4 linked regions of the Cricetulus griseus genome follow. The protein of the gene in region 2 purifies or fractionates together with the protein of the main gene of each other region. This does not show direct contact. Links are inferred from orthologs where the notes say so. Each region holds a gene or a part of one and is shown on either strand. Other genes may lie near its edges. The genes, in order: Pxn, Csk, Tns3 and Tns2.

Region 1 (8,323 bases), about 74 Mb from region 2:
GACCCCTAGAGCAGCTGTAAGCTGCCTGATGTGGGTGCTGGACACCAAACCAGGGGCTTATGCTCTTACAACGCCTTTGCTATCTCTCCAGCCCTCTCTTTCTTTTAAATTATATTTTATATGGTGTGTGTGTGTGTGTGTGTGTGTGTGTGTGTGTGTGTGTGTAGTGGTGGTGGTGGCCAGAGGACAGCTTGCAGGACTTGTTCTTTGCTTCTACCGTGTGGGTCCCAGGGTCTGTTGGATTCAAGCCATCAAGTGTAGTAGCAAACATGCTAAGTCATCTTGCTGGCCCCAAACCTCTCCATAAATTGAAAGGAAGGAAGGAAGGAAGGAAGCAAGCAATCTGGGGTGATGACTTGATGTGTAAACATGAGGACCTGAGTTTAGATCTTCAGCTCCCATATAAAAGCCTCGTGTAGCAATGTGTGTTTAGAACCTCGGTGCTGTGGGGGTAGAAATGGGTGGATCCCAGGGACTCAGTGACTAGCTAGTTTAGTAAAACCCTATCGCAAAACAAACAATGTTATTTTTTGAGGCCAGCCTGTTTTACATAGAGAGCTCTAGGACAGCCAGGGTTACATAGACCATATCTCTAAAAACAAAAACAATAACAAAAAAGGATGGGCTGGTGAGATGGCTCAGTGGGTAAAGGTACTGTAAGCTTGGTGACTTGAATTTAATACCTAGAACCCATGCAAAAGTGGAAGGAGAGAACCAACTCTACAAAGTTGTATTCTGGGCCAGGTGGTGGTGGCGCACGCCTTTAATCCCAGCACTCAGGAGGCAGAGGTGGGTGGATCTCTGTGAGTTTGAGGCCAGCCTGGTCTACAGAGGTTAGTACCAGGATAGCCAAGGCTACACAGAGAAACCCTGTCTCAAAAAACAAACAGAAAACTCCAAAAACCAAAGTGGCATGTGATAAAAGAATATACCTGGTAGCTGGGTGATTGTGGCACACACATTTAATCCCAGTACTTGGGAGGCAATGGCAGGCGGATCTCTGTGAGTTCGAGACCAGCCTGATCTACAAAAGCTAGTTCCAGGACAGCCTCCAAAGCCACAGAAAAACCCTGTCTCGACCCCTCCCCCCAAAAAAGGACATACCTGGCATAGATTTCCAACCTCCACACAGGCTCGAACTGCTGAGCACACATACACACGCACACACAAAAGAAAAGAAAGAAAACAAATAAATGAGAAAGGCTCGTGCCGCTGGGAGTGGTGATGGAGGTCGGAGAATTGAGAGTTTGGGGCCACCTGGCTTACATAACAGGACCCTGTCTCCGTTCAGAGGTGGACGTTACCATGCTGCAAGGCACCAGGTTCTAGCTCTAGTACCATAAAAATAGAATAGAAAAAAAAAAAAAAAGAAGTCAAACCAGAATCTGGCCCATAAACCAATAAAGCCAGACACAGCATCGCACCATGGGTGCAGGGCATGGGGACTTGTTGAGCGGGCAGTGGAACTCCTGATTTACCGGCTAGCAGGGAAGGCCATTGTCTTCCTTGGAGTGTTTGGAACTGGAGGGAACTGTGTTATCCCTTAGCCATCTTTGGCAAGGGGGACCTCAGCCCAGCCCTCTATGGCAGTGTTGTTGGGTTGGGGGATGGCAAGTTCCACAGGTGAAGCTCTTGGCCCTGATAGGTGTACAGGACTGCTCTTGCCAGCCCCATCAGGGCTGTATTTGTGGCCTGCTCTGTGGAGCTGGCCCTGCAGGCTCAGTCTGTGATGGAGGAAGAGGAGTTCCGCCTACTTTGGGCTGGGCCCAGAGGAAATGGACAGCAGGTGTGGCCCTAGAGACTCTTTGGGATTGGCTTTGGACATTAGTTCCTTTTATGCCCTTACCTAGACTCATAGAGACTCCCTGTAGTTCCGGTTTGTTGGAGGCAGGAAGTCAGAGCTCCTCCGGGGGACCTGGACGGGGAGGGGCTGCAGGAGCAGAATTTCTTCAGCAGCAAGAGACTGGGACCCAGGGTCCCGGCCTTCGAACAACTTCTCGTCCAGCCATACAGCAGGAGCCAGGGGTAGGTGCACCCACCCTAGTGACAGGTAGTCAGGGCTGCTAGGAGAGGGCATGACCTCAAAGGCCCTTGCTTCCCTTTTCTCTGCATGGGAATGGAGCTACAGACAGGGCCGCCAGCAAGGATCAGAGCTCGAGCCCCTGGTGTGTAGGAAGTTGAGTTCCTTAGATTTGGTATCTTGTCTCTTTGAAATCACAGCAGTCCCTCCTGCAGGCTTGGTGTCTGGGACTTAAGGAGTCTGAGGAGTCTTGTGATCCTGCCCTTTCCTGCTTTATCACTCAGGGCAGGTACTGCTAGCCTCCAAGCCTACTTTCCTCAGCTCCAAAGACAACAGTTTGGCCTTTTAGGTCACCAGAAGGGGCACTTGTTTGTGACCACGCGTGTAGATGCCTTTAGTGGTTCCTAGTAGATGGTGATCAGTGCAGTGCAGCCACTGCCCCTCGATTGCCACTCACGAGGGCCCAGGAAGCAGGTCACTAGATGCTGAGAGTGAGCAGGTCAGTGAGCAGTGCAGGAAGGAGGGAGGGTGTGGTGAGCGGGGCTGGACTGTACCCAGGCCGTGGCACTGTGGAAGGTCCCAAGATGGGAGGCTATGGCAGGAAGGTCAGTACCTCCAACTCCTGTCCCTCTAGCTGTCCCTTCCTGTCGAGAACCTGAGCCTCTTGTCGGCTACTGCATGCCAGGGTAATGGCAGCTTGTGTTGGAGATCTGACCCACCCCCCATTAAAAGCGGAGTCATGGGGCCCTGGAGTTTCTAGGGCTGGGCTGCTTGCCAGGCTTTGGCAGAGCAGTCTTACTCCCAGCTTGTTGAGGGGGTGGCTGCTGCCGAGCTGGCTTCATGCCAGCCCCCTACCTCTCTGCATACCTTACCCACAGCCTGGGGCCTCAGGAGGAGCTTAGAGCATGGAATTCCGCTCCTACCTGGAGCACAGGTGCTCCCTAAGGCCACCCCCTGTCTTTAGACTTGGGCTGAGGCTCTTAGAAGTCCAGAGAGGACCTGGCTCTATCTACCCAGCCCCTCCCTGTGCTGTGACATGACGTAGGACTCCTCCCACCCAGCTCTCCCAGTTGCCCTCAGGAATCAGAGTTCTAAGCAGGCATTTCTTGCTTACACCAGGCAGCAGCAGCCTAGCCTTGTCAGGAGGAATGCAGAGCCAGGCATCTAACCCCTGAGGGAGGAGAGGACGGGCAGCCGATGTGGAAACTCCAGGTCTCTTCTCCCATCGAAGCAGCAGGTGTCTGCCAGACAGGATCTCTTCAAGTTCAGGAAGGCAGGACACTGCCCCTGGGAAGTGCCCAATAGGGCCAACTCTCACCAGTGGACGTCTTCTCTTTGCAGACGCCCTGCTGGCAGACTTGGAATCAACCACCTCCCACATCTCCAAACGGCCAGTGTTCTTGTCAGAGGAGCCCCCTTACTCCTACCCAACTGGAAACCATACCTATCAGGAGACTGCAGTGCCACCCCCTGTTCCACCACCCCCATCCAGCGAGGCCCTCAATGGCACGATCCTTGACCCCTTAGACCAGTGGCAGCCTAGTGGTTCCCGATACACTCACCAGCAGGTAAGGTGGGGTCTGCGGAGCCCTTGGGGGCTGAGTGGTAAAAGGAGCTGATCTGCCGAGGAGATGGAAAGCCATTGGGGATGGACTGGGATTCTGGGCTCCTAGTCATACACTGCCCTTCTCACCCACCATGTGAGGGGCCAGTGACCAAGTATTAATCACCTGACTAGCTGTGGAAATTCCCTGGTGAGACAAGCTATGAGCAGGAGCTGCCTGGGGGTGGCCTGAGTAAAGTACTCTTTCTTCTGCAGCCTCCATCCCCGTCACCTGTGTACAGCTCCAGTGCTAAGACTTCCGGTGCCTCTAACCCTCAGGACAGCGCTCTCTGTTCCCGAGCAGGCGAGGAAGAACACGTCTACAGGTACAGAACCAGCACTGTACATCAGCCCGGCTTCTGGGAAACCCTAGGGCCACTGGTGGAACTATAGAAGGCCTGAAGGCCCCTGCCAGGCCCTGTGCTTGTCAGCTGGCTCCCCTCTGCCCTGTCACTGCCTTCTCTGTAGAGACAGCATCTCTGTAGTTGAGAAACTGAAGCAAAATTTCCTTCCTCCTTGCCTTACCACATTCCTTCCCTACCCTCCGCCTTCTTGCTGAAGAGACTTGGTAACATTCCACCCCTCCGGCCTTGAGAATCTGGGGCCTGCCACATCCAGTGCAGGGCAGAAGAGTCTTACTTGTTTCCTCTCCTTCTCAAAGCTTCCCCAACAAACACAAGTCCGCAGAGCCTTCACCTACCATGATGAGCTCCTCCCTGGGCAACAACCTCTCGGAGCTTGACCGTCTGTTACTAGAACTGAACGCTGTGCAGCACAACCCTTCAGGCTTCCCTGCAGGTGTGAGCGGGTCTCTGGACTACTCATGGGCCTTTGGGTTCCTAGAGGACTCAGGGATGAGCAACCATTTTGTTTCCTTATCTCCAAGATGAAGCCAACTCAAGCCCCCCACTACCTGGAGCCTTGAGCCCCCTTTATGGTGTCCCAGAGAGTAACAGTACCCTGGGAGGAAAAACTGGGCCCCTGATGAAAGAGAAGCCAAAGCGAAATGGAGGCCGGGGCCTGGAGGATGTGCGGCCCAGCGTGGAGAGCCTCTTGGATGAACTGGAGAGTTCTGTGCCTAGCCCTGTGTGAGTATCCATTAGGGTCTCCCCAGGCTGGGGAAGCTCTTGAAGTCTCACCCCGACTGTCTTCGGGCTGTGTGGTACCTGTCCATCAGCCCTGAAGTCACCTGCTCCCTACAGTGTCTGCTACTTGCCAGGTCCTGGGGATATGGCATGACCCGGCAAAGCCAGGGTTAGCACAGGTTTGCTGATGTGGCACAGGGTTTAGATCATGGCTGTGCCAGCTACAACAGTCTTACTCTCGCTCTATAAGTTGGAATAAGCCAAAGTAGGGCATGGTGACACATGGTTATAATCCCAGCATTTGGGAGGTCGAGGTTTGGAGATCTCAGGTGCAAGACCAATCTGGGCTATATAAGTGAGTTCCAAGACAGTCTGAACTGCATGAGACCATAGCGCAAAAATACGACATAAACTATAAAATAGGTAAAGCAGACAGTAATAATGGAGATGACCCTACATAGTAAATAGAGTGAGACCAAATAGTATATAATAGTATATAATGTTGGGGGGGGTGGGGGCTGGCTCGTAGCTGTGGCAATCACAGCTATTAGGGAAGCCCCTAATAGCGTCAGGTCTTGTTTATTTTGAGGTAGGGTTTCACTCTATATCCCAGACTCTTCTGAAACTCACTATGTAGTAGCCCTCCTGCCTCAGCTTCCCAAGTGCTGGGTTACAGGGATGAGCCACCATGTGTCAGTGTTTATTGATGTGTAATAATCTCGCATGTGTATAGTGTTGAGAGGCTTTGTAGTGGTGCCCCTGTCTTCCTGTAGGGGTACTGTGAACCACCTACCTTCTCTGGTCACCTCACCTCAGCACTGTTTCTTAGCTAGTCACTCTTTCCCAGGGATGGGGATCCCTAAGGTGCTGCTGGGTTCTGGTGGCCTTCCCTGGAGTTGGAGGTGTCGTTGATCTGGAGCCCCCCCCGTGGAGCCTGGGGCTGACCCTTGGGCTCCTTACTGACTCCATGCCTGCCCCACAGCCCGGCTATCACTGTGAACCAAGGTGAGATGAGCAGCCCACAGCGAGTCACCTCCAGCCAGCAGCAGACACGCATCTCGGCCTCCTCTGCTACCAGGGAGCTGGACGAGCTCATGGCTTCACTGTCGGATTTTAAGGTGCCCTCTGATTCTCTCTGTCTTCCCTGCTCCCATCCATTACCCTTCCTCAGTATGACTAGCAGCTCCTCGGGGCCCTGGAGGAGAGAGGCTAGGTAATATTCAAGACTGAGCTCCTTAGCAGCTTGTGAAGGCAGAGAAACCAGAGATGCCTTTAGCTGGAACATTCCTCCCTCTCCTGGTGATCCCAGCCACCAGGTCAAGGGGACCAGGAGCTGGAACACAGTGACAATGAGCCCTGTGTTGATAGCTGCTCTTGGTGGGGGAGGGTATGTCCTGCTGGGCCCCGTGGGACCAGGACCTCATGCCTGAGAGGTCACTTGTCCCAGAGCTGTATCTCCCACGCTATCTGTCCTCAGAGCACCCGCTTTCTTTCTGCTGTGGGGATGGGGTTTTCCAGCATTTCCAGCCAGCTTCCTTCTACCCTCACTTTCTTCTTTAAGGGCCTGAGTTCCCAGAGTCCTGTCTGTGGGAAACTTAACCTGCCAAGCACCTGGCCAGTCGGCATGAGGCGTCCCACCTTCCCCTCCCAGGCTCTCCAGGCCTGCCTGTCCACAACGTTTTCTTTAGAAGATGTGGTGCCTCAATAGGGATTAATACTGACTGAAATTTCTCATAGTTGCTGACTTCAGCTCCATGTGGGTCAGCCAGAGACCTTTGAGGCACAGCTTGGGGAATATGAGAAGGGAGCCAGGCTGTCTGTCCATTCTTGGCCTAGAAGGTGCCTCCTGCCTCCCTTCAGCTGGACTCATACTTGGAGCTCACACGGAGGTGGGAGATTGGGTGGAATTGGGGCTGGTAATAGCAATCACCTTGTTGCTGTGGTGATAAGCAGCCAGTCAGGATCCAGGCACTGATGGTGCTGGTACCTGTCCCTTAAGGCTGCAGTTGCTTTCTTAGACCTGTAGTCCAGTGCCACACGAGGAAAAGCTACACTGTGTCTTGGAGCCCTAGAGAAAGGACTTGAGGATATAGGAAAGCTGGGGTGGGCGGAGCACAGAGCTGGTGCCTGTGCCAGCTTCCCCTTGTTTGCACCTAGAACCAGCTCTGGAGCTCTCTTCCCATCATACAGCTTATTGCAAGTCCCCTTGGTGCTTACTGTGGGTGACTTTGTAAGCATGGCTTTGTGGATGTTTTCTGTTCCCTGGGTCTCCTAGAGTGCAAGGATGTGAGGCTCAGGCAAGCATTTCTGGGGTTAGACTCTTCCCAAAGACTCTTATGTCTATGCATTGCGGATGGTGGCTCTCTCAACTCTCAGGCCATGCCTGCCTGTTGCCTCACCTCTCTCCATGTCTCTCTCTCCCTTTCCCTTTGTCTTTCTCCTCCAGACTAGCTCTTCTGCTGTGGTGCTGAGCTCCCAGGGGCTGCTGCCCAGCTCTACTCCATTCCTACCCATCACCCTTCTTCATCCTCCTCCTCCCACTAAATTCTCCCATGGAGGCCACACCCCCATGGTCCTCAATAGGGAAGGAAATAGTCAGGTCCTTCTACCTTCTGGGGCTCCCAGGAGGCTTGATTTGGTCAGTCTCAAGGGGACATCTGGCACTCCGAACTCATGGTGTCCCTCTGGGGAGGGTTCTCAGCAGTCATTTGGTGCTAAGAGCCAGGCTCAAGTTAGGAATGACCTCACAGACTCCATGACTAAGCCCTTTCAGACTCCCCTCTGCCACACTCTGCACCCAGCTGTGAGCACAGGATCCCAGGGGCCGCTGGCCAGCTATGTGTGTTCGGAGGAGACGGTGGCTCCCGTTGAGAGATGGCCACAGGCTGTGCCAGGATCCAGGCCTGAGATTCCCCCCGGAGTGACTTACAGCATCCAGGAAGGGACCGAGCCAGCTGTCATGGCAGTGGATCGGCAGGCTGTCCTCCCAGACACCTGGAGTCTCACCAAGGAATGTGGCCAGCAGGAGCGAGCACAGTCAGAACCAGAAGGCCTAGAAAGCAGTTGCCCTGCCCCAGCTAATGAGGAGCAATTAGGTGGAAAGATTCCCTGGAGAGGAAGCCTGGGGGGACCAACCCAGGCACTTGAGAACCCAAGGAACCCAGAAGGTGCCACCAAAGCCACTCTGGAGGCCAGGAAGGAAGAGCCGGAGTTTCCTCATGCCGGGGTCATGGGCACACCCAACACCTCAGAGAGGATCTCCACCGCTGGCCAGGCAGGCAGCAGCTTGTGCAGCCACTAGGCTTGAGTGTGGGCCACTCCTTGCTAACCGCATGCAGCCCCTATAAATGTCTGCCTGGCAGAAAGTGCCAAGGATGGTGGCCCTGAGGATGTGTCGGGCAGTATTGTTACCTGGACCCTGCTGAGTGGTGGTGATGCTCCACCTTCTGCTTGCTCAAGACTGCCTTTAGAATTGCTGTCCCATTTTCAATGTGCAGAACAGTGAAAGCATGGATTTGGGAACCATACAGACCCACACACCACTCTGGCAATACCTGCTAGCCATGTGACCCTGGGGAACCACCCAGAGGCTCAGCTTTCTCTTCTTTAAAATGG
Region 2 (6,264 bases):
GGGACTACACACTGTGTGTGAGCTGTGAAGGCAAGGTGGAACACTACCGCATCATGTACCATGCGAGCAAGTTGAGCATCGATGAGGAGGTGTACTTCGAGAACCTCATGCAGCTGGTGGAGGTGAGTAGGGGTGCTCCCCCTTCTGCCCACACTCAGACACACCTGAGTCCACCTGAGGACATTTCACACAAACCCAGCACCAAGTCACCTGGCAGAGTAACCTGGACACGTTGACAGCACACCCCAGTGGAGCACCTGCTATGTGCCAGGGCCCATAGTACCCCAACAAGGGCCCGTTTTATAGATAAGGACACAAAGTTCTGATCAGTGAAAGTCTCTCCTCTCTCTGTACGTTGGAGGTGCCACTAGACTTTGAGGCTATCTGATCCAGAACTCAATTCCTCTTCCACTCGAACCTCCTCGTGTGTGTGCCCTGGCCACCAGGGTCCTTCAGGCCTTTGCACACCCACAGGTCCTTGCAGCTTCCGACACCAGCTCTGTCAGCTCTGACCAGGCCATACTTGGCAACAGAAAACTGTAGGTTCCCTCCAAGCTCACTCTCATCCTGTCTCTGGTTTACATTGGCCGAGGACACCTGGCTGGAGGCTGGTGCAGGGAGCAGGCCAGGCTTTGCTGTTTACCTTAAGATGCTGGTCAGGCCCACAGCAGTAGTGACAATTGGGAGTCCAGTAGCTGATGTGGGTGGGGTGACACAGGAAATGGACAGGCATTCCCACCCTTTTGAAATGAGGAACCTTTCACACAAAGCAGCTGGAGGCTTCGTGAACTGGCCTCTGCTGCCCCCTGGTGGTCAGACCTGAGCAGCCCGTGAGTCTATGAAAAATGGGGCCAGCGGGTCTGGTTCTGAGGGCCTGCCCTCCCCCTCTCTCTGCAGCACTACACCACAGATGCCGATGGACTCTGCACTCGCCTCATCAAACCAAAGGTCATGGAGGGCACAGTGGCCGCCCAAGATGAATTCTACCGCAGTAAGTACACTAACTACATTTCCACTGGCCTACCCTGGTGGTTTGGAGACATCAGACATCCCACATCTAAAGCAGTTTGGCCTGTGCCTGCCATCTCAAACGGCCTCAACTCTCTGTTCACCTCACTGACACACTGCTTTTCTGCCCCCACCCCACAGGTGGCTGGGCCCTGAACATGAAGGAACTGAAGCTGCTACAGACGATTGGGAAGGGGGAGTTTGGAGGTAAGTTGAGGGAGCCCCGGGAGGGTCTGAGAAGCTTCGGGTGTCCAGGAAACCGCATCCCTCCCTTCTTCCTCCAGACGTGATGCTGGGTGATTATCGGGGCAACAAAGTTGCAGTTAAATGCATTAAGAATGATGCCACTGCCCAGGCCTTCCTGGCTGAAGCCTCTGTCATGACGTAAGTTGAGACAAGCATAAGGGCAGGTTGCCTGGGGCCTGGGTGGAACGGGGGAGGCTGGCTGACTGAACTCTGAACTCTGGCTGACTACTCTGTCCCGCCTTGTCCAGGCAACTTCGGCACAGCAACCTGGTCCAGCTACTGGGTGTGATTGTGGAGGAGAAGGGTGGGCTCTACATTGTCACAGAGTACATGGCCAAGGTGGGTTCTCCTCAGCCTCACCTCTCCCTCCTCCCAGCCCCTCCACTTTGTCCCCACTGAGCTTTGAAGTTGCCAATCCTGGCCAGTCACTTACTTACTGAGGGACAAGTCGTGCCCTCTCCAAGCCACTGTTTCCTAAGTGTTCTGGATGTCCCCTGTTCCCTTTCCTCACGTCCCTTTCTGCCCTGCCCCCCCAGGGGAGTTTGGTGGACTATCTTCGATCACGTGGTCGTTCGGTGCTAGGCGGAGACTGTCTCCTCAAATTCTCACTGTGAGTGATGCAGCCTGGGGTGGGACTAAGAACTTGAAGGAGACCCCTGCCCTGCTATGGGAGCCCCAGTCTGAGGGGCATGTGGCTGTCCTGTCCTCAGAGACGTCTGTGAGGCCATGGAATACCTGGAAGGCAACAATTTTGTACATCGGGACTTGGCTGCCCGGAATGTGCTGGTGTCCGAGGACAACGTGGCCAAAGTCAGTGACTTTGGCCTCACCAAGGAAGCCTCCAGCACTCAGGACACAGGCAAACTGCCCGTCAAGTGGACAGCTCCGGAAGCCTTGAGAGAGAAGGTGAGCAAGGGTCCTAGAGTCATTATCCCCTCTCCTGAGCTTCCTAAAATCAAGGCTGATTATCTTATGCACATGGCAGAAATTTTCCACCAAGTCTGATGTGTGGAGTTTCGGAATCCTTCTCTGGGAAATCTATTCCTTTGGGCGAGTGCCTTACCCAAGAATTGTGAGTATGGGTCTGGGAGCCAGTGCGTTGCTGAAAGTGATGGCGGGTGGCAAGAGTAGCATCCATTGGTAACTGCCTCGTACCTCGGGTCTGTCCGGCCTGAGGCAGGGCTGAAGGCCCTTCCTAGAGAGGGAATGTGGGTAGGGCTCCCTTCTCTTGTAAGGCACCAAACTCATGCCACCTGCTCACAGCCCCTGAAGGACGTCGTCCCTCGGGTGGAAAAGGGCTATAAGATGGATGCCCCGGACGGCTGCCCGCCCGCAGTCTACGAGGTTATGAAGAACTGCTGGCACCTGGATGCTGCCACACGGCCCACCTTCCTGCAGCTTCGAGAGCAGCTGGAGCACATCAGAACCCATGAGCTGCACCTGTGACCTCTGCCTCCGCCTAGGCCCTGGGCCTGTAAGGACAAGGCCTAGAAGATCACAGATCTGGTGCCTGCTGCCCACTGGGCCTGAACTTGAACTGAGCCCCAGTGGGCTGGTAGGCCTCCTGCCTCTGACCTGCCTGTCCCTTCTGGCCCCCCAGGGACCCCACCTAGGCCTGGCATCTCTTATGGACCCACCCACCTATAGGGCTTGGGGCACTCACTGAAGGGGCTAAGGAGGGAGGAGGACAAGGAGCGGGAGGCAGTGCCCCCACTGTGGTCAGCCTTCTCTTGGCCTCCCATCACTCGCCTTCTTAGAGTTTTATTCCTTTCCTTTTTTGAGATTTTTTTCCGTGTGTTTATTTTTTATTATTTTTCAACATAAGGAGAAAGAAAGTACCCAGCAAATGGGCATTTTACAAGAAGTACGAATCTTATTTTTCCTGTCCTGCCCCTGGGGGTCGGGGAGGAATCAGCCTCTCTCTAGGGACCGATCACCCCAGCCTGTTCCCCATCCCGTGTTCCATGTCCAGTGTTGCCTCGGTCGCCTCTGTTTGCGCTTGACCATGTTGCACTGTTTGCATGTGCCCGAGGCAGGCGTCTGTGCTGTGGCCGCTCACCCACCGCCTTGTGAGTTGGAATCGTAATAAACCACTCCCATGAGGACACCGCCACCCAGCCTCGGCGCTTTCTCCGCCGAGCCTTCCTGTCTGCACAGTCGTCTTCCCATGCCATCTTGTCCATCCCCCCTGTCTCTGTGAGTGGGGCTGAGAGGGAAGCATGGCTAGAAGATGTAGCCGCCTCTTTGTGTCAGCTGCACGAGCCAGTGTCCTGTGTCTGCCCATGGGGGAGTGCTCACCGCCTGTCCATTCCTATCAGCTACCACCTGAGCCCAGCACCTGGGCAGCCTTGGGCTCTGAGACCAGTCCATGGGATGCTGCCTGGGAATTCTGGCTGCTTCTCCTGCCATGCTGTCCAGGCCGGAAGCACAAAGAATTGGAAGTCCAGGCCTGCCCAGATGGGGATGTGGCCCTGGGGCAAGAGCCCAGATAAAGAGCCTCAGAAGATACTGACCTCAAGGGTGACGGAAGGGGAGCTGCTGGGGATTCTCACATTTCATCTAACATGTGACAGCTTTGCTTTTCCTCACCCTACTGTGTGCCAAGCCCTGGCTTTCCTGGGCTTTGCATGGATTCAGGCACCTTCCTTATGCCCCAACTGGGGTAGACAAATGGAGAATGAGAACCAGCTTGGGCTTTTCTTCCCCCCAAGTTGTGCAAGGGCGGTAGAACCCTGGTGGGTAGGAGAGACTTGATTCAGTAGAGATAAGTAGGGAGGTTCCCCTTATCCCATCATGGTCCTGGCCCTCCTCCTCCAGCCTGCAGGACCTTAGACCAACGAGTTTTGGCTTGAAGCATGTCTTCTGTGTACCTCCCCAGGCCCACTGTGTTCCAGTCCCTCCCAATGCAACAACTTTCCCCACTAAGCTGCCCTTTGCACACCCTTCAGGCTGATTTTTGTGAAAAGCAGACAGATTAGTCATTCAACTGCAAATGTCCAAATACCTGCTGAGGGTAGACTGCTGGATGCTTCTGGCAGGTAGCAGAGTGGACCCTGTGGAGTTCATGGTTGAGAGGACAGTTAGTTACACACAGATAATGACAGGCTCTTCTGTTGTAAAGGAACACCCAACAGGAGAGTATCATAGATCAAGAAGTGGCATCCATGCTGAGTTCAGGATGGGTGCAAACATAGGTGGGGCTAGTAGCACCCCAGGGAGAGGAGACCCTAGTAAGGGAGGCTTGTCCAGGAGCTCTGAGAAGGTGGGTGACAATAACCAGTGGACAGCACCAGGAGATAAGAGATGGGGCTAGGTAGGGAAGGTTGTGGCCTACATGTGTTTCTTACCAAGGCAAGAGTTACTGTAATTCAGTGACATGTTTGGGGCATCAGAGACATGTCAAGTAATGCCATTCTAAAGTAATCACCCCAGGTCCCAGTGGGGAAGTGTGAGAATAGAGTAAAGATGATAAGAGGTAGTCGATGTATCAGTAAAACTTAGCAATGGGGTCAGCATGCTCCACAGGGAAGGAAAGGGAGAAGCCAGACGCCTCTGACTCTCCCTGATGGGTGTGTGTGTGAGCTAGGCAGCTACCAACAGAGAGGACCAGAAGAGACCATCACAGGTTCTACTGAGCTCAAGCATTCTGAGTTGAGTGCTTTTGAAACTGCCAAGAGGTGGGGGATTGATAAAGCATAGGCTGGAGAAGGAAACTGAGAGCTGTCGTGAATGGATTGAACCTAAAGGATGAGGTCCATATGGTAGGAAAGGGCAAAGATGAAGCCGAGGGGGGCTCTAAGAACAGGTCAGGAAGAAGTTCACACACCTGCAAACCCAGCACTCAAGAACAGGTCAAGAAGTTGTTCACATGCCTACAAACCCAGCACTCTTGAGGCAGGAAGATTATGAGTTAGATAGAGGCCAACCTGGGCTACTTGTTGAGACACCATCTTTTAAAAAATTAAAAATTGCTTCTGCAAGGCATTGAGATTAGGAGGGAGCAGGGAGGGAATGTTACTGAGGTCCAGGCAGAGGTCTTCTACAGGTGGAAGCCACTGGGACCTGCCTCCCAGAGGGCATGGAGATGGACACTGTTTTTGCCCCCAGGTCCAAGGAAACTGCCCTAGTAACTTCTGTGTTTGGCCAGGCCCATACCAGGAAAATGTATCTGACTGGAAGGAGAGGGGATGGGGGCAGAGGGAGTGGGAGTTCAGAGGCTTCAGCAAGTTTGGTTGTCTGAGGGAAGAACATTGGGTAGCATCTAAGTTCTGAGGGAAAGACAAGCTACTGAGAAGGCATAGTAGGAGTTGGGGTGGGAGTGGAGCTTTCCTTGGAGTTGGTCTCTCTGAAACTGCAGAGGAGGAAGACACACACCGAAGTCCTGGTGAATGTGTAATGACCAGATTGAAACCAGATATACACAGCTGTAACCCCAGCACTTTTGGGGGTGAGGGGGCAGGGGGATTAGGAGTTCAAAACCACCTTGGCTACATAAAGAGTTCTAGACCAGCCATGGTTGTAAAGTGAGACCCTGTCTTGGGAAAAAACAAAACAAGCAGAGTGGGTGGGAGCTGACTGTAAATGTTTACTGATATCTAAATCATAAATACTGTGGCTGATTTCAGAACACCGCCTGCTATGCCCAGCCATCTCCTGTTTAGAAGCCTGCAGTAGAGCCTTGTGGAGGAGCAGGCCCAGCTCCCAGGACCCTGAGTCAAAGCAGGCACAGGTAGCTGAACCCCCAGTCTCAGGGTCCCAGGCCTGTTTGTCCTTCAGTTTCTCTCCCTTTTCTTGCCCCCTGCCTCTAGCTCCCTTCTCTTCATTTCCTTTCCCTCCCCATTTATATTTTTATTAGACTTTTGAAGGTTTTTATTTTGTTTTGTTTTTATCTGGATAAAGTCCTAGAGACTGAGTCTAGGGCCTCAAAATGCTAGGCAAGTGATCTAATAGTGGTAGGATTGAGCTTGTAACCTACCAGCCCAGTTTTTCCTTTTTTATACTGGGCCTCAG
Region 3 (7,611 bases), on a different chromosome or scaffold from region 2:
GTTCCCACCAAGCCCCCAGAACCCAGATAGGGGTGTGTTTGGCAGCATTGCTTCTTTGGTCTGGATGAAGAAAATAAGTTTCTTTTTGGCACCACTTTTCCAAACCAGAGCTACATCATAAGATACAGTGTTTAGCCCAGTCCCCTAGGGGCCTGCAACAGTGAAGTCTAGGTTCTTCTTTGGGTTGGTTGGCAAGATTGCAACTAGCCGGTGCTCATACTGAAGTTTCATTTCTACTAGGATACTCTTTGTGTCATTCTTAGCAACTTTTGTATTATCTTAAACACACCAGCATTGAGATGAGATGCCCTTTGCTGGCCATATAGTTTAGGAACACTAGACACAGATATACATAGAAGAGGGACTGATCCCCAGCCCTGCTGTGCAGAGCTGGAGTATTCGCCTCAGAGGTGGCAAGAGCACATGAGACAGGAAATGGCTTGGCACCCTTTATTCTGCTTCTGCCGGTCCACATGCTGTCTTCCTCTGTATGGGCCTGATTCATAGCACACTGGCTAGAGAATGGCCGCACACCTCTCATACCTTCCATGACTACCTTTTACTCTGTGGGCATATTGAACTAACATTTAGGGATTTGGATTTTCTTTAACTTTTTGGAGTCCTGAGGATGGTTCTCTCCAGGGACTTTCCTACTTCTGCTCTTTGTCCTGTGAAAGCCTGCCAAGAGAGCAAGGAGTGACTGCCCACCCTGCCCATGCCTTACATGGACAGTCAGATATGGTATGCTGTCTGGAAGAGTATGGGATAACTGACTACAGGTGGCCCAGGGCTGCTGGGCACATCTGCTTTTAGATCTTTATTGGCTGTTTGTGTGGCCCAGGTTTTGTCATGTGATGATAAGCTGGGGAGAGTTAGTCTCTCCATTGTTAATGAACTACTGGGCACCAGGGCTGTTCTTTTGCACCAGAGTACTAGAGGAAGCAAAGCAGAGGAAATCCCTGCCTCAGGGCTGAGCAGCTCAGAACAGGTGGAAAACATTGATGCTTACTCTGTATAAGCAAAAACCCAGCAGGGATGAGGAATGGGGAGCTCTGGGGGCAGTGAGTGCAAAGGCCCTGAGGCAGGTTCGCTCCCAGCAATCTGAGAGCAGTGGAATGAGCAGTAAGGAGATGAATCTGAGGGAGCTGTTAGGACTTCTTCACTGTAGAAATAACTTTTCAATATTGCTAATGGGTGCCCTTCTTTAGGCTCAGTGGGCCGAGCGCTTTCAGTACATGCTTTTAGTTCTGGTGACTTCACTGAAAGCTGGGAATGATTATTTCATTTTATCAGTGAGGAGCCCAGGACAACTGGAATGTCAGGACCAGAAATTTCACAGAGCAATGGCAAGTCCTCCAGGATGAAAGAGAAGCTAGTATGTCCAGAGTAAAGAGTGACAAGTGGCACTTCACCAGAAAATAGGGTGGGCACAGTGAGGACAAGAGCTGTTTGCTCTCCTGCCTGTGGTTCCTGCTGGCTGGTCCAGTTGAGGAGCTATAGCCCTTGGGCAGCTTCCTCTGCCTTCCTGGGCTCCCTTGCCCTCTACATCCTCTAGCAAGAAATGCCCAGCTTGGGAGCTTGGTGTAGGTTTCTTGGGCATGTTGTGATTTGAGAGCTAGCTATGCATGCAACAAGAAGCTCGTGAGAGTCCAGCATGTCTCTGGATCTTGTTGGGATTGGATGGCCCCTTTCTTTCCAGCCACTGGGATTGCCTGTGGGAACATAGCCATATACTGTCTGAGCTGTAAGGATTTATCAGACCCTCTTAGGGGCTCAGAACTGGGCTGGGCCAGGCTGGATCAGGCTTATAGGCAGGGTAGATATCATGCTGTTTTCCTGCATCACTGTCAGGATTTCTCTTATTTGGGCCTGGGGATGTAGCTCAGTGGTTAAGATCACATACCACTATTGCAGTGCTTTGGAGTTTGGTTCCTAGCACATCAGTGGTGGCTCGCTACCTCCTGTAACTCCTCCAGCTCCATAGGATCTGATGTCCTCTGCTGACCTTTGTAACTACAGTACTCATGCAAATACCCCCACTCCCATATACATATAGTCAAAAATTGTTCAAAACTCAAATTGTAAAAAGCTGCTATTAATAAAAGTAACAAAGGATGATTCCTGGCTGCCAGAGAGAGAAATAGCCCACTCTTACCACTTTCTGGGTCCTTCTTGGTGAACTGTTCTTTGCATAGGGACAACTAGAGGATCGGCTCTAGAAGTTTTTGAAGGCACTTTTTTTTGTGTGTGGCTGAATTCCAGTTTAAACTAGAAAATTAGAAGAATATTCTTACAGTTCATTCTTGCATTCCCTTTTCTTTTTAAGCCTTGGTACCATTTAATTGAGGTTTATGGAGAACTCATACTTCATACCTTATGGAAGCTGTAAGTGAACTGTCTGAGCAGCATGCACTCTGCCCTTGAAATGAGCAGACTTCTGCCCTTAGCTGTGTGTTCCAGTGATCTGTAATCTGTGCTCTGGTTGCATGCCTTGTGCAGGGACTGGAGTAGCAGCCATCTGGCATTTTGCCGCACGCGCACTCGTGTGTGTGTGTGTGTGTGTGTGTGTGTGTGTGTGTGTGTGTGTGTGTGTGTGTGTGTAGGAGTGGAGTTGTCTCTATAATTCTTAAGGAGCAGAAACTTCTCATCAGCGCCTTTCTCACACTGTGCAGATCAGAACAGAAGGAAGTGCACTGGGTCTTCTGCAGTTGAGTTTCCTGCAGCAGAACACCCTGATACCAGATGGAGTGATGCTTCCATGAGCCTATAATGATGCTCTGGGTGTGCTGCCATTAGTTCTCAGGTCAGCCTCCACACAGAATCACTTCCACCTTTTCTCATGGGGATTTGAAGATCAAGGTAAACTCCCTGATTGGGAGAGCTTGGGAACGAGCCATGGGCTTGATGTTTGCAGGGATATATATATATATATCCCTAGTGATTCTGCACATGGTTACATTGTTTCCAGGGGCCATTCTTTTATAAAACCTCAGTGATTCTGCACGTGATTCTTTGTAAAGATGACACAGGATCATCTTTCCAGGCATTTTTGTCTGATTTTCAGAGCTGGGTGTAGCATGTGCTTTTAGTCTCTTTGTGTCTGAAACCTGGCTCAGTGTCATTTGCTGTGTAACTCTTCCCAGTTAGGGTCACCAATTGAACCTCAAGTTTGTGCACTCCCAGCCTTCTGTATACAGGTAGGTAGGTGGTGTCAAGCTGCAGGTGCACCCGGGCCCTGGAGCCTGGATTCTGGGCACCTTCTACTCCTGACAGCTGCTTAATCTTATTTACTCTCCTAGAGCCTCTGATCTTACTAAACAAGCAATAACGATATGAAGGTCCCATGACTCCACACCCCGTCCAGCATACGTGCGTGTCACCACCTGCCATCTCTCTGCACACTTGCTCTATTTACAGTTTGTGTGTGATTCCCACCCCCAGGGCCTCTCTCCCCCAAGTTCTGCTTTAAGATGTGGTTGGGCTTTTCCAGGCTAGACTACACAATCAGTGTTCCCCATCCGTGTCCCATCGTCTCTGCATGCTTGCCCTATACTGCAGTTAAATTGAGAAAGGAGCCCAGGCTAGGCATGTTCTCAGAGCTGTGTTTTCAGGGCTGTGTGAGCGTGTGGCACAGCACCCCATACCATTCAGTCCCATTCCCACCATGTCAGCCACCCCAGTATTTCCAAAAAGGCAGCAGCTGCTGAGTATGATCAAGTGTCCAGCTGTGCCCAGGGACCATGAGACACATGCCCAGGGCTAGTCTCTCCTGAACTACTGCATGAATAGGCTCAGTAGCCACCAGAAAGGTGGAGGGTGGCTCAAGCCATGAATCCTGGGTGCCTAAACAGCTTAGGTTTCCAGCCATCAGCAACTCCCTTCCTGTGCAATGCCTATGATTCCACAGTGCAGAGAGTCCAGGAAAATGGGGGAGGCTTACAGGGGAGATGTGTGTGAGCTCCAGCTTATTTTAGGAACCTCTTGCTATAATACACCCTGTGTGACCAAGGCAATTACAGCTGCCAGTCAGCAGATTGTGGCTCGTGAATCTCCACGTACAGCCAGCTGCCAGGGCCCTAATTAATAACAGCAGCAGCTCTTCCTGTCCACATTGTTTCATGGCATTCCATGTATAGTGCATGCAAGTTAGGTCCAAAGATCCAAGATTCTGACGGTTATTAGATGCCTATGTTGCCCAAGGATCTTGTGCAGTAAGAACAGGTCCTGAGCCATCCCTATACTCCCCCTTTCCATTGAGCAGCATATTAGATTTTAGCACATCCCAGAGTGTTGATAGGATGGCAGGTTTATCGGTGACATAGGGGATTTAATGACAGTTGGCACCTGCATGCTCAAAAATGTTAGCTGTATGAGATGTAAGTACAGAGGAGCAGTTGATTCTTGGGGATTCATGAGCTGAGCTGGGCTCCACATTCAAAATAATGAGATTAATGATTCAAAGAATGAAGAATCCCCAAGATTCTCTATCGATGTGTGCATGTGTTTGTGTATATATGTGCAAGTGCCTGTGTGAGTATATGTGTGTGGTGTCCCACATGGGTAGGTAAGCATGAAGCTGGGGTATAGCTCAGTGATAAAGCACTTAGTAGCATTCAAGAGACCCTGGGTTCCATCCTCAGCACGACAAACAAAACCAAAAAGGCAGTAATGGTTCTAGGCAAATATGTTTGATACGTGACTCCTTTTTACTGATGCTCACTCTTCAGAGGATATATGGAGTTTTAGGACCCCAGTTGAGTCTGCACCTGTTTTCTGTTGAGTTGCATTGTAGATTCACTCCTCTGTGGACATAGCATTGTGCCCACTGTGGTTCCTGGTATTCCCTTTGCTCCCTGGCTTATGACCTGTCTCTTGTTTTCCCTACAGTGCTACACACACAGGGCCCAGTGGATGGAAGCCTGTATGCCAAGGTGAGGAAAAAGAGTGCCTCAGATTCTGGCATCCCTGGCAGCCCTCAGGGCATGCCAGCCACCAGCAGTCCAGACCACGGTGACCACACCCTGTCAGTCAGCAGTGACTCGGGTCACTCTACTGCCTCGGCCAGGACTGATAAGACAGAAGAGCGTCCAATCCCAGGAGCACAGAGGGGCCTGAGCCCTCAGGAGAAAGCTGAGTTGGACCAGCTACTCAGTGGATTCGGCCTGGAAGACTCGTCGAGCTCCCACAAAGACATGACTGATGTGCGAAACAAGTATAGTGGGACGCGCCACGTGGTGCCAGCCCAGGTTCATGTGAATGGAGATACTGCCCTAAAGGACCGGGAGACTGACATTCTAGATGATGAAATGCCTCACCATGATCTGCACAGTGTGGACAGCCTGGGTACTCTCTCCTCCTCTGAAGGGCCACAGTCAGCCCACCTGGGCCCCTTCACCTGCCTCAAGAGCAGCCAGAACTCCCTCCTGTCTGATGGCTTTGGCAATGGTGTTAGTGAAGATCACCATGGTGTTCTTTCTCCAGACCTAGGCCTTGGTGTAGACTCTCTTTATGAGCGGGAGCGGATGTGTGGGGGCCGAGAGCCAAAGCAGCTGCAGCCCCTGCTGAGGAAGCCCTCTACACCCACCCCACCGCAGGCCTATGGGCAAAGCAACTATTCCACCCAGACCTGGGTGCGTCAGCAGCAGATGGTGGCTGCTCACCAGTACAGCTTTGCCTCAGATGGGGAGGCCAGGCTGGGCAGCCACAGCACAGTGGACCAGCCCCAGCCCCATATCCCAGTTACTCCCACACGTGGAGCCAGCAGCAGGGTGGCTGTGCAGAGAGGCATCAGCAATGGACCAAATCCCCCTGACACACAGCCACTCTGTTCTGGTAAAACACTCCAGCCCAGATTTGCAGAGGACAGAGTCATGAATGGAGGCCATCAGGATCTGAACACTAGTCATTCCCCAGGCTCTCCTACTCTGGATATTGACCAGTCCATTGAGCAACTTAACAGGCTGATCTTGGAGCTAGACCCCACCTTTGAGCCCATCCCCACACATATGAATGCCTTAGGCATCTCTGCCAATGGCTCTGTATGTCCTGATGGTGTGGGAAATGGGCTCCGGTGTGGTGGCAGGCTGGACCCTGTGGAAGGCCCTGGCCGGAGCCCTGGCCAGCAAGGTGAGTTGATAAGATGTTGGGGTCAGGTAAGAGATTGTCTAGCTAAGAATTTGGGTTTTCTGAAATTCATTTCCTTTGCAGTTTCTACTCTACTAAGCTGTGACCTAGAATCCAAATGGTTCCTTGGGCACTATGGGAGCTTGGTAGCAATTTGAATGGTGGGAAGAAAGAAATGCAAAACTTGTGTATAAAGATGGTTTGGGACAGAGATTAGGCCTGTTAAAGACGAATATCCCTGTCTTATTCACACACTGGTCACATCTGTTTCGGAGTGCAGCAGGCCATTTGAGAACACCAGGTAGCTTGATCCATGCTCCTCTGCCACCTGGTAGCAATGTGATTCAGAACCTGTGCACAAATTCTCCCAGCCTCGGTTCCCACATCTGGAGAGTAAGTTTAGCAATACAGCTTTTCTCCTTTCAAGAATGTTCTTTTCGGAGGAGGGCTAGGCCTCTCAGTTACAATTGATGGGCTCTCAAGTCCTCCTTGGAGGAAAAAAGGTCTGATTAAGCAGTCAGGATGTGCAAACTGTCCTATTTACAAATGTATTGTCTGAGTTTTGAGACACCATTGGAGGGTGTTTATGGGTGGCAGTAGCCAACCTGTGTTAGAGAGAAGTTTGGCTCAAGAATGCTGAGGGAGACATAGAACAGAAAGCGAAGAGTGTGGAGTGGGCCCAGAGAAGCTCAGATAGGGCAGATCCAGGTTCCTAGGTCCTGAGAACATGATCTAGAGCCAAGACTATGGACCATGGGCCTAGGTACGTGTATTTGCTATACCCTCTGAAGCAGATGAGAGTTGGCCAGTTGCCAGAAGAGAAAACTCTGGGCCTTTCTACCTTAGAACCAGGAGAACTAGACACCATGACAAGACCTTCTTTGGAAGGCCAAGGTTAGTGGGAGTGGACAGTGACTTCTGACCAAGTCTCTGGGAATGTTTCTGCGTCAGTGTGATGAGGCCTGCTTTAGGATCCGGTTCCTATCAGATGCTCCCAGTGTTAACATGGGTCAAGAGGGTTTGAGAGCTGGTTGAGTCATTTAGTCTTTAGATGAGAAAGCAAGCTAAAGTGTATGACATCCTGAGATGTCAGCACTTTCAGATCTTGGGCAGCACATCCTGAGAAGGGGTCTGGGAGATGATGGAAGGAACAAGGCTTGGTCTGGAATCTGCACAATGTTATCCTTGGAGGAGACTGACCAAGGTGAGGTATCTATGTGTGGGTGATGTAGTGGATGCAGGAAGTGGCAGGTAAGATGGATCCATGGGTGTTACTAGGAACCATGACCTGGAGGACGAGAAAGATAATGCAAGAAGGCTTTTAGCCATCTTCTCCTTCCTCTCATTAGTGTTTTTCTGTGCTTCCCAGAGTCCATGAGCATCCCCCTGAGTTTGTGTGCTAGTGATGCTGATGGTAGAATCCCATGAGGATGCTAAATATTGCTTTGGGGTCCAAGCAGAATGGCTCAATTCATCTTCACAATACTC
Region 4 (7,611 bases), on a different chromosome or scaffold from region 2:
TCTAGCCAGGGTACACAGGTGACAGGCTTCCTAGAGAATTGGAGCATGCAGGAAGAAGGCTCAGGCTTCCCAGTCTGATGGTCTTTCTAAGGTGAACCAGGGAGGAGTAGAGCAGCCCTTCACCTGGATGAACAGGAGGCAGAGGAGGGAACTCCTGTGGAACCCTGTGAATGTAGCCAGAACCGGAGGAGTTGCACTGGGACATTCAGTAAATACCATGCAAATGAGGACGACAAGATTGTACATTCTTTCAAGTGACAGCTACAGCATTCCAAAGGCTGCTGTCCAGGGCTTGAGCCGAGAACCCCCAGGCCATTGACCCTTGTTTTAGGAAGATTGTTCTATCGTTTCCAAGGCCCTATCCACCTCCTTCCTTGACTCCTGGGACAGGAAGTTGGCCCTATTCCCAGGAGGGAAGCAGGAGGCCCTAGAGGGGGTGGAGAATGTGTTGGGAGGGGGCCTCCTGTCCAGTCCTCAGGTCCAGTGACAGCCACAGATGAAGAAGAGCCAGGCCCAGAAGAGCCATGAAGGTAGTGCTCAGGTTTGAATGGGTGGGTGGGTGGGGTCCCAGATACAGGGGGACTAAGCCAGGAACTGTGGGTTTTATCTGGAGCACAGTAGCTGGGGTCTTCAGGTGGAACCTTTCCAGGGCCCTGGGTTGCTCTGGACCACTCACTACTGTGGGCAGCTGGGCTTCTGGCTGGTGCTTGGCCTTGAGGAGGGTACTGCATGATCTTCCCCATCTGACAAGGAAGCTGGCCCTCATTCCTACTTCTTTCACCCTAAGTAGTCTGAGTCCTAGCCTGCCAGGGGTACTGGTTCCCAGCTCCACTCCCTTCCCACAGGAAGTCCCAAGGGAACTTAAGAGTCCAGGCTAGAGACTGGCTGGGGACACAGTGTTCTTCTCTGGCCCTCAAGCCCAGCCCTGAGACCTGAATTCCCACCCTGCCCCACTGACTGATTCCAGGGCTGGATCTCAAGACCACAGACCCCTACACAGGGTGGCCCACCGGGTGAGAGGCAGCTCCAGAGGAGAAGGGGAGAGCCAAAGATCTTGGGCTGACACTCCCAGCAGGGGTAGATCCTGGGAATCTGATCTCCTGGCCTCCCCCACATCCTCCCCCACCCCACTTCCTGGAGCAGCGACCTGCCCCCTTCCCGCCTGCACTTCCCTTCACTTCCAGGGCCAGGCTTCTCCACACACCAGCCAGACAGCCTCCCCTCCACCCAAGGGAAGCGGCTGCCTCGGCCAGGCTGCTTCCAGGAAGCCCCAGGCCAGGCCCCAGCATTGTTCAGGCCCTGCAGCCAAGACCCAGCCAGCCAGACACCATGAAGTCCAGCGGCCCTATGGAAAGGTTGCTCAGAGCCCTGGGGAGGGACAGCAGCCGGGCCACCAGCAGGGTAGGAGTGCCCACCAGCTGGGCAAAGGTGGGGCAGGGTGGAGGTGTGGACAAGGGGGGAGGGCCAGGATTCAGGCCAGACCCTCTTGCTAATTTCAGCCTCTTCTCCTGCTCCTTACCTTGCCTCAGTATTCCCCTCATTCCCCTGCCCCCCTGAGGTGGCCAGGGTGGCAGTATGATCCTGCCATCTGTTTGGACTTCTCTGCCTTTCCTTGCTTGAGCCTGAATAAGCCCTGGGAGTTCAGCAAAGAGCTTAAGCCCTGACCTCCCAGGGAAGCTTGAGAGAAAAGGGATGGGAAAAAAGCTATGAAAGGTAGGGAGGAGGCCAGGTCTCCAGGCACTGTGACTGGGAGGATGCCTTCCACTGACGTCATCTGCACATGATGTTATCAACAAGTATGTCCAAGTATCCTAGTGGGTCCCACCTCCAGTCCAGAAGAGGTCTGGAACACTCAAGGGACCAAAGCTGTTCCTCCCCCTTGCCTTTCGAAGGTGTTAACACTGTGGTGGGCAGATCCAGGGAGAGGGGACAGCAGGAGCTGGTATACAGATGAAGAGTGTGGAGGGACTGTCCACAGACTTGGGGTGGGAGGCACGGCCTGCAATGGGAGGGACTGAAGTAGGACCTGGGCAACTGGAAGCACCCCAGCTGCTAGCTTCACTGTCGCTGGATAGGGAGGGGACACACAGAGGCAGCAAGGCAGCTGCTTGTCTGTCCCCGCTGTCATTCCTCCTTCCAACATTGCCACCCCCTTCTTATACAACTGCTGCTTGCAGCCTCAATGCACAAAGAGTAAACACGTTGTTCTGACCCTGAGGGAGGGGGGCATGTCAGCTGCCTGGAGCTTGGAGACATTGAGAGCCAGGGGCTCAGGACTGGCTACAGCCAGTCTGGGTGTTATGTGACAATGTGCATGTGTGTCTGGGCCATCAGCTCATGTATACAAACCTCATCTGGGGAGGGCAAGATGGAAAGAGTCAGACCCCCACTCTGCCAAGATTTGGAAACCCCTCACATTTGAAGTGGCAGTGACAAGGACATCACATAGCAGGGCCACGTGAGGGGACCTAAGTGATCCCTTAGGGAGGAGTTGACCCAGCCAAGGTGATGCAAGGGGTCACATTCCAAGTCCTGTAGAGGACAGGCCCCATGACTACCCCGAGACAGCTGTGGCCAAGTGTGCCTGGGAGTTCAGAGGCTTTGAACTAGAAGGGAGGGAAGCAGCAGCGTCTATCCAAGGCAAGGTTTCCAATTCAGCCTCAGAGATGGGTCCACTAGGAACTCATACCTCTATCTATCTGTCATCCCACCCGCAGCCTAGGAAAGCAGAACCACACAGCTTCCGGGAGAAGGTTTTCCGGAAGAAAGCTCCGGTGTGTGCAGTGTGTAAAGTGACCATCGATGGGACCGGTGTCTCCTGCCGAGGTGAGGTGCTCTTCCTGCGTATCCAGAGCCCTCCACTCAACACCACTGTGCTGGGTGGCTCTAGGAACAGGCAGGCTTACAGAGCAGGGACAAATGCCCTCACTTGCATGACACCCACCTTGCCACAGCCCAGTAGATCTGTGACTCTGCCACCTTCCCATCCTCACCTGTGACTAGAGGCTGCCCTTCCTCCTTGCCTCCATTCATCCTAGACCTCTGGCCTGAATCCCAGACTCTGGAGCAGAACCTGCTGGTACCCTGCCCTGCTCACTGCTCCAGCAATCTAGTGTTAAGTCCCAGGGTTGACTTTCAGGGCCTGGGGAAGTGGAGGGTGCCCACTTTCACTGCCCTCTAAGCCTCTGCTGTTCTCCCCTCCTTCTCTAGTCTGCAAGGTGGCCACACACAGAAAATGCGAAGCAAAGGTGGGTACCTGGTCCTAGCTGATGGGGGATGGAGTCTTTTCACTGCCCAGACACGCTTTTTCAGCCATACTGGCATGTTTCTTCCACCCAGTCCCCTGCCATTCCTGGAGACCCCTCCTGGGTGGCAGGGGTGTTGTGCCGGGCCCTTTAAGAACTACTCTACTCCACCCCTGGAGGGTTGGCCCAGGAGGGTGGACAGTGAGTCGGCAGCGTTTGTCTTGGTGCTGTGCCCAGGCTGCAGCTGGCGAGAGGATGGGGGGGTGGAGAAGCAGGAGGAGGAAGGGTGGGGTGGACAGAGAGGGAGCAGGGTTTCAGAGACCAGGCACTGGAATAGGCTGTACCTTCCCTCTGGGGAAGGGTCCTCAGGATGCCCAAGTTGGTCTTAACCTGGGTGCTGGAAGGGCTGGACCTCTACAGGTACATGGTGTAGGTGGCACCCACTGTCTACTGAGAACCTGAAACAGCCCCATCCCTGAGGAATGCTCCTGGTTCCTCCTTCAGTGCAGGGGGTAGTCCCAGGGCCTCAAGCTAGCTTGGGGGAGCTATGTGCCCATGGGTGGGGTCTCAACGGTGAAAGAGGCTAGTGTCCACCCCTGGCCATTGCCTGCCTGCCCGCCCCTATATATAACTCCTGTCCTGCAGCTGGATGAATGGGGGTCTGTTTGGGCAGGGGGCTGAGAGCCAAAAGCAACAAGCAGGGGGCCTGAGAGGTGGGGGACCAGGAGGCCAGAAGCAAGGCTTCCCTTAAATAGAGGAATAGAGGAACCTCAGCTGGAGCCTGTACTCATCAGTTGACAGCCCCTCCACGTTATCTTTCACCAGCTCAGTCACTCATCTCCTTCCAGGTGACTTCATCCTGTCAGGCCTTGCCCCCCGCGGAGCTGGTGAGTGCTCTAGGATGGGGCAGGGAAGATAGTAACCTGACTAGTGTCCAGAGGTCTGGTGGTCTCAGAGTGGGGGCGCCAGGAGGTTACCTAAAACTGAGCGTTGTAGTTACTGACTGTTCTAGCTCTCCGCTGTTACTGTCCTCTAGAGCCTGGGGTGCGGGAGGGGCGGGGGGGGGGGAGACTGGAGTTCCCTCTTTTCCCCCAGGGAGTAGATAGACACGGACATGCCCTCCCACCCCCACCCTCCAGGTCCAGACTGGTCATTGCCCCTGCCCTAACCACTCCCATTTCCTCCCCCACCTCCTCCCTCTAGCGGAGAAACACTGCCCCAGTACGGCGCATAGAACACCTGGTAAGGGATGCTTAGGGGTCTGGGGGTGGGGGGTGGGTAGCTTTTGGGAGACCACGGTTTGTGGAACTTTGAACTGGGAAGTCTAGAAGAGATGCGTCCAAAGACGATGTCGATGTACGGTTTCTCATCCACCAGGGATCCACCAAGTCCCTGAACCACTCAAAGCAACGCAGCACTCTACCCAGGTGAGAGCGCCCGGTGATCCCACGTGGGCACTTTGCACAGGACCCCCACACAGCTCATGGCATTGGTCCCCAATAGAACACCCCAGGACAATGCTCCCCCTCAGGACCACGCACCCTCGGGACCTAGCAGGCCTCCCAGCGCTCCCCAGGACCTTTCTCATAATACTAGCCCCGTGGGGCGCCTCGCCTCTGTTCCCTAAATCAGCTTTGCGACCTCTCCAGGAGCTTCAGCCTGGATCCGCTCATGGAGCGTCGCTGGGACTTGGACCTCACCTATGTGACCGAGAGGATCTTGGCTGCAGCTTTCCCCGCACGGCCGGACGAGCAGCGACACCGGGGCCACCTGCGCGAACTGGCCCATGTGCTGCAATCCAAGCACCGGGACAAGTACCTGGTGAGGAGCGGGTTGGCCAAATTCAACCAATGAGAGGGCTGGGAGGTCCAAATGAGCAAGGCTACTGTTTGTCATCAGAAATGGAACTGGCAGGAGGCGGGTATTAGTGTACAAAGGCGAGGCGGGGCGGGGCGGGCCGGGCGGGCGAGGCGGGGCGGGGCGGGCCGGGCGGGCGAGGCGGGGCGGGGCGGGCCGGGCGGGCCAGGCCGGGCCTGAGCTCAGTGGGGCGCGCAGCAGCTCGCAGAGAATTCAGTTCCAGATGATTGCAATCTTATTTTAGAGTAAGATTGAGGGTCCACCTCCAGCTCCTCTGTCTGAAGTTGCCTTCATCTAACTCTTCCCTTTATTTCAGCTCTTCAACCTTTCAGAGAAACGACATGACCTGACCCGCCTGAACCCTAAGGTAGGAGGCAAAATGGTCTGTCTGGCCTTTAAGCTGAACCAACCCTATGAGAAGGCCCTGCCTCCTTGTTATTAGTAGCAGCTGACATCCATTTTACTCTTAAGCACCTCTCATATGACACACCATTTAAGATATATGAAAACATGGTGCAGTATGGCTGTAAAGTGTCCAGGCTACTGTGGGACCACTAGCAAGCCCCACTTTGCACCAGGGCCCCTGTTTGATGTTCATACCCTCTCACCTCCTTGTTCCTGCATACGCACGCACGGATGCACGCACGCACACACGCACGCACACAATTCTACCCTTGTATTTCCCCAGGTGCAGGACTTTGGCTGGCCTGAGCTGCATGCCCCACCTCTGGACAAATTGTGTTCCATCTGCAAAGCCATGGAGACATGGCTCAGTGCTGACCCTCAGCATGTGGTCGTGTTGTACTGCAAGGTAGGCTGGGACCTTGGGGTCACAGAGCTGAGGCATCCTCATCCTAGAAGAGTAGGCCCAACAACCCTATCTCTTTATCTCTCAGGGGAGCAAGGGCAAGCTTGGAGTAATCGTCTCTGCCTATATGCATTACAGCAAGATCTCTGCAGGGTGAGTTGCCCTGTCCCAGTGGCCCTTCCTCACCTGGCCCTGTCTGAGTTTCCCTCTTTAGTCAGAGTCCTACACTATAAACTTGGTGTGATACTGCCTGTCTCCACTTAGGCGCCCAGGACTCCCCAACAGATGAGCTGGGCTAGTTTCCTAGGGCTGTCAGCAAAATGCCATAAACTGGCTTAAGATAACTCAATTGTCTCACAGTTCTAAGATGTTAAAAATCCAAAGTGAAGGTGTCAGTGGGGCCTAACTCTTCTCTGTGACTCTAGGCAGACTCCTTCCTTGCCTCTTTCCAGCTTCTGGTGGTGGTCTTGGCTTGCAGCAGCATCACTCCAACCCCTGCCTACATCATCACGTGGTGTTCTCTTTGCGTCTGTTTCTGTTTCTCCTCTTCTGAGGACCAGTCACCCTGAATTCAGGGCCCACCTTGCTCCTGCATGATCTCATCTTAACCTATCTAATCACATCTGCAGAGACCCTATTTCTAAATAAGGTCACATTTGAGGTACATTTCTGTGGGGGAGGGACATAATTCAACTCATCAGATTATCTAACTGCCCCACTTTACAGGTGAGAAAAGTCAAATTCAGGGGGCAATTGCCTGAGGCCCAACAACTGGGACACTGTACTGTAGGGCTGCTAGCTCTCTTCACCATTGGGGGTCCCCTCTACACTGAGGGGAATCCCATGGTTCCTCCTTCCCTGGGGCTTAGGTGTAGAAGGCCAGAATGAGACTGATTCCTAAGCACCCCACCCGCCCTGCTCTCCCCAGGGCAGACCAGGCGCTGGCAACTCTCACCATGAGAAAATTTTGTGAGGACAAGGTGGCCACGGAACTGCAGCCCTCCCAACGCCGGTGAGCAGCCCAGTGGGGAAGGGCTGATTCTCCTGCTCAGGCAGCAAACTTGAAACCCACAATGCACCATGCCAAGTTCTGGGAACCGAGAACAAACAGGGTCAGGCTCTCATGGCATTCACTTGCTAGTGGAGTGGAAGGCAAGAAGCCACACATAAACAAATGGACTGGCTCACTCTAGGTGATGGCAAGGTTTGTGAAGAGAGTAAAGCAGAGGCCTGTAAGAAAGGCTTCATGGGGCGAGGGGAACTTGCCTCCTTGAAGTTTGGAAGGACAGTCTGGGTCTCTCAAGGTTGGGTGGAAGGTCTGCACTGTTGAGTTGCTGATGTTTTCCTTGGCACTCTCCTGCCAGCTATGTCAGCTATTTCAGCGGGCTGCTGTCTGGCTCCATCAGGATGAACAGCAGCCCGCTGTTCCTGCACTATGTGTTTGTGCCCATGCTGCCAGCCTTTGAGCCCAACACAGGTGAGTCCACCTGAGATGTATTCCATGGGGGCAGCAGCCATTTTCCACCTCCCTTCACCCACCCCCCTCATGTCCTTCACCCTCCAGGCTTCCAACCCTTCCTCAAGATCTACCAATCTATGCAGCTGGTCTACACATCTGGAGTCTAGTGAGTGCTCTGTTCCCAGGCCCTGACACCTGCCTGTGCCAGTGTCTATTTGTCTGTCCCCCAGCCTCCCCAGGCC

What was found.
Region 1: the proteins of Csk (region 2) and Pxn purify together in Homo sapiens (affinity purification with mass spectrometry; 4 studies listed by BioGRID and IntAct, with this or other methods). This does not show direct contact. The link is inferred for Cricetulus griseus from reciprocal best matches to the Homo sapiens genes CSK and PXN.
Region 3: the proteins of Csk (region 2) and Tns3 purify together in Homo sapiens (affinity purification with mass spectrometry; 4 studies listed by BioGRID and IntAct, with this or other methods). This does not show direct contact. The link is inferred for Cricetulus griseus from reciprocal best matches to the Homo sapiens genes CSK and TNS3.
Region 4: the proteins of Csk (region 2) and Tns2 purify together in Homo sapiens (affinity purification with mass spectrometry; 6 studies listed by BioGRID and IntAct, with this or other methods). This does not show direct contact. The link is inferred for Cricetulus griseus from reciprocal best matches to the Homo sapiens genes CSK and TNS2.

What each region holds. Positions count from the first base shown.
Region 1 is NC_048597.1:95,636,575-95,644,897, forward strand, and holds the start of Pxn (paxillin), read left to right. Parts: upstream 1-3,202; 5' UTR 3,203-3,217; coding exon 3,218-3,257; intron 3,258-3,361; coding exon 3,362-3,588; intron 3,589-3,839; coding exon 3,840-3,949; intron 3,950-4,284; coding exon 4,285-4,421; intron 4,422-4,509; coding exon 4,510-4,711; intron 4,712-5,690; coding exon 5,691-5,826; intron 5,827-8,323. UniProt on the Homo sapiens protein: Cytoskeletal protein involved in actin-membrane attachment at sites of cell adhesion to the extracellular matrix (focal adhesion). Recruits other proteins such as TRIM15 to focal adhesion.
Region 2 is NC_048597.1:169,253,251-169,259,514, reverse strand, and holds the end of Csk (tyrosine-protein kinase CSK), read left to right. Parts: coding exon 1-122; intron 123-897; coding exon 898-991; intron 992-1,149; coding exon 1,150-1,215; intron 1,216-1,292; coding exon 1,293-1,392; intron 1,393-1,502; coding exon 1,503-1,593; intron 1,594-1,790; coding exon 1,791-1,864; intron 1,865-1,964; coding exon 1,965-2,160; intron 2,161-2,239; coding exon 2,240-2,326; intron 2,327-2,517; coding exon 2,518-2,700; 3' UTR 2,701-3,367; downstream 3,368-6,264. UniProt on the Homo sapiens protein: Non-receptor tyrosine-protein kinase that plays an important role in the regulation of cell growth, differentiation, migration and immune response.
Region 3 is NW_023276807.1:96,519,366-96,526,976, forward strand, and holds part of Tns3 (tensin-3), read left to right. Parts: intron 1-4,887; coding exon 4,888-6,126; intron 6,127-7,611. UniProt on the Homo sapiens protein: May act as a protein phosphatase and/or a lipid phosphatase. Involved in the dissociation of the integrin-tensin-actin complex. EGF activates TNS4 and down-regulates TNS3 which results in capping the tail of ITGB1.
Region 4 is NC_048595.1:398,502,939-398,510,549, forward strand, and holds part of Tns2 (tensin-2), read left to right. Parts: exon of another isoform or gene 1-524; coding exon of another isoform or gene 525-530; intron 531-614; exon of another isoform or gene 615-1,329; coding exon of another isoform or gene 1,330-1,401; intron 1,402-2,711; exon of another isoform or gene 2,712-2,717; coding exon 2,718-2,826; intron 2,827-3,210; coding exon 3,211-3,248; intron 3,249-4,070; coding exon of another isoform or gene 4,071-4,093; coding exon 4,094-4,132; intron 4,133-4,448; coding exon 4,449-4,487; intron 4,488-4,622; coding exon 4,623-4,672; intron 4,673-4,894; coding exon 4,895-5,066; intron 5,067-5,418; coding exon 5,419-5,469; intron 5,470-5,790; coding exon 5,791-5,913; intron 5,914-5,998; coding exon 5,999-6,063; intron 6,064-6,838; coding exon 6,839-6,922; intron 6,923-7,274; coding exon 7,275-7,387; intron 7,388-7,474; coding exon 7,475-7,535; intron 7,536-7,611. UniProt on the Homo sapiens protein: Tyrosine-protein phosphatase which regulates cell motility, proliferation and muscle-response to insulin. Phosphatase activity is mediated by binding to phosphatidylinositol-3,4,5-triphosphate (PtdIns(3,4,5)P3) via the SH2 domain.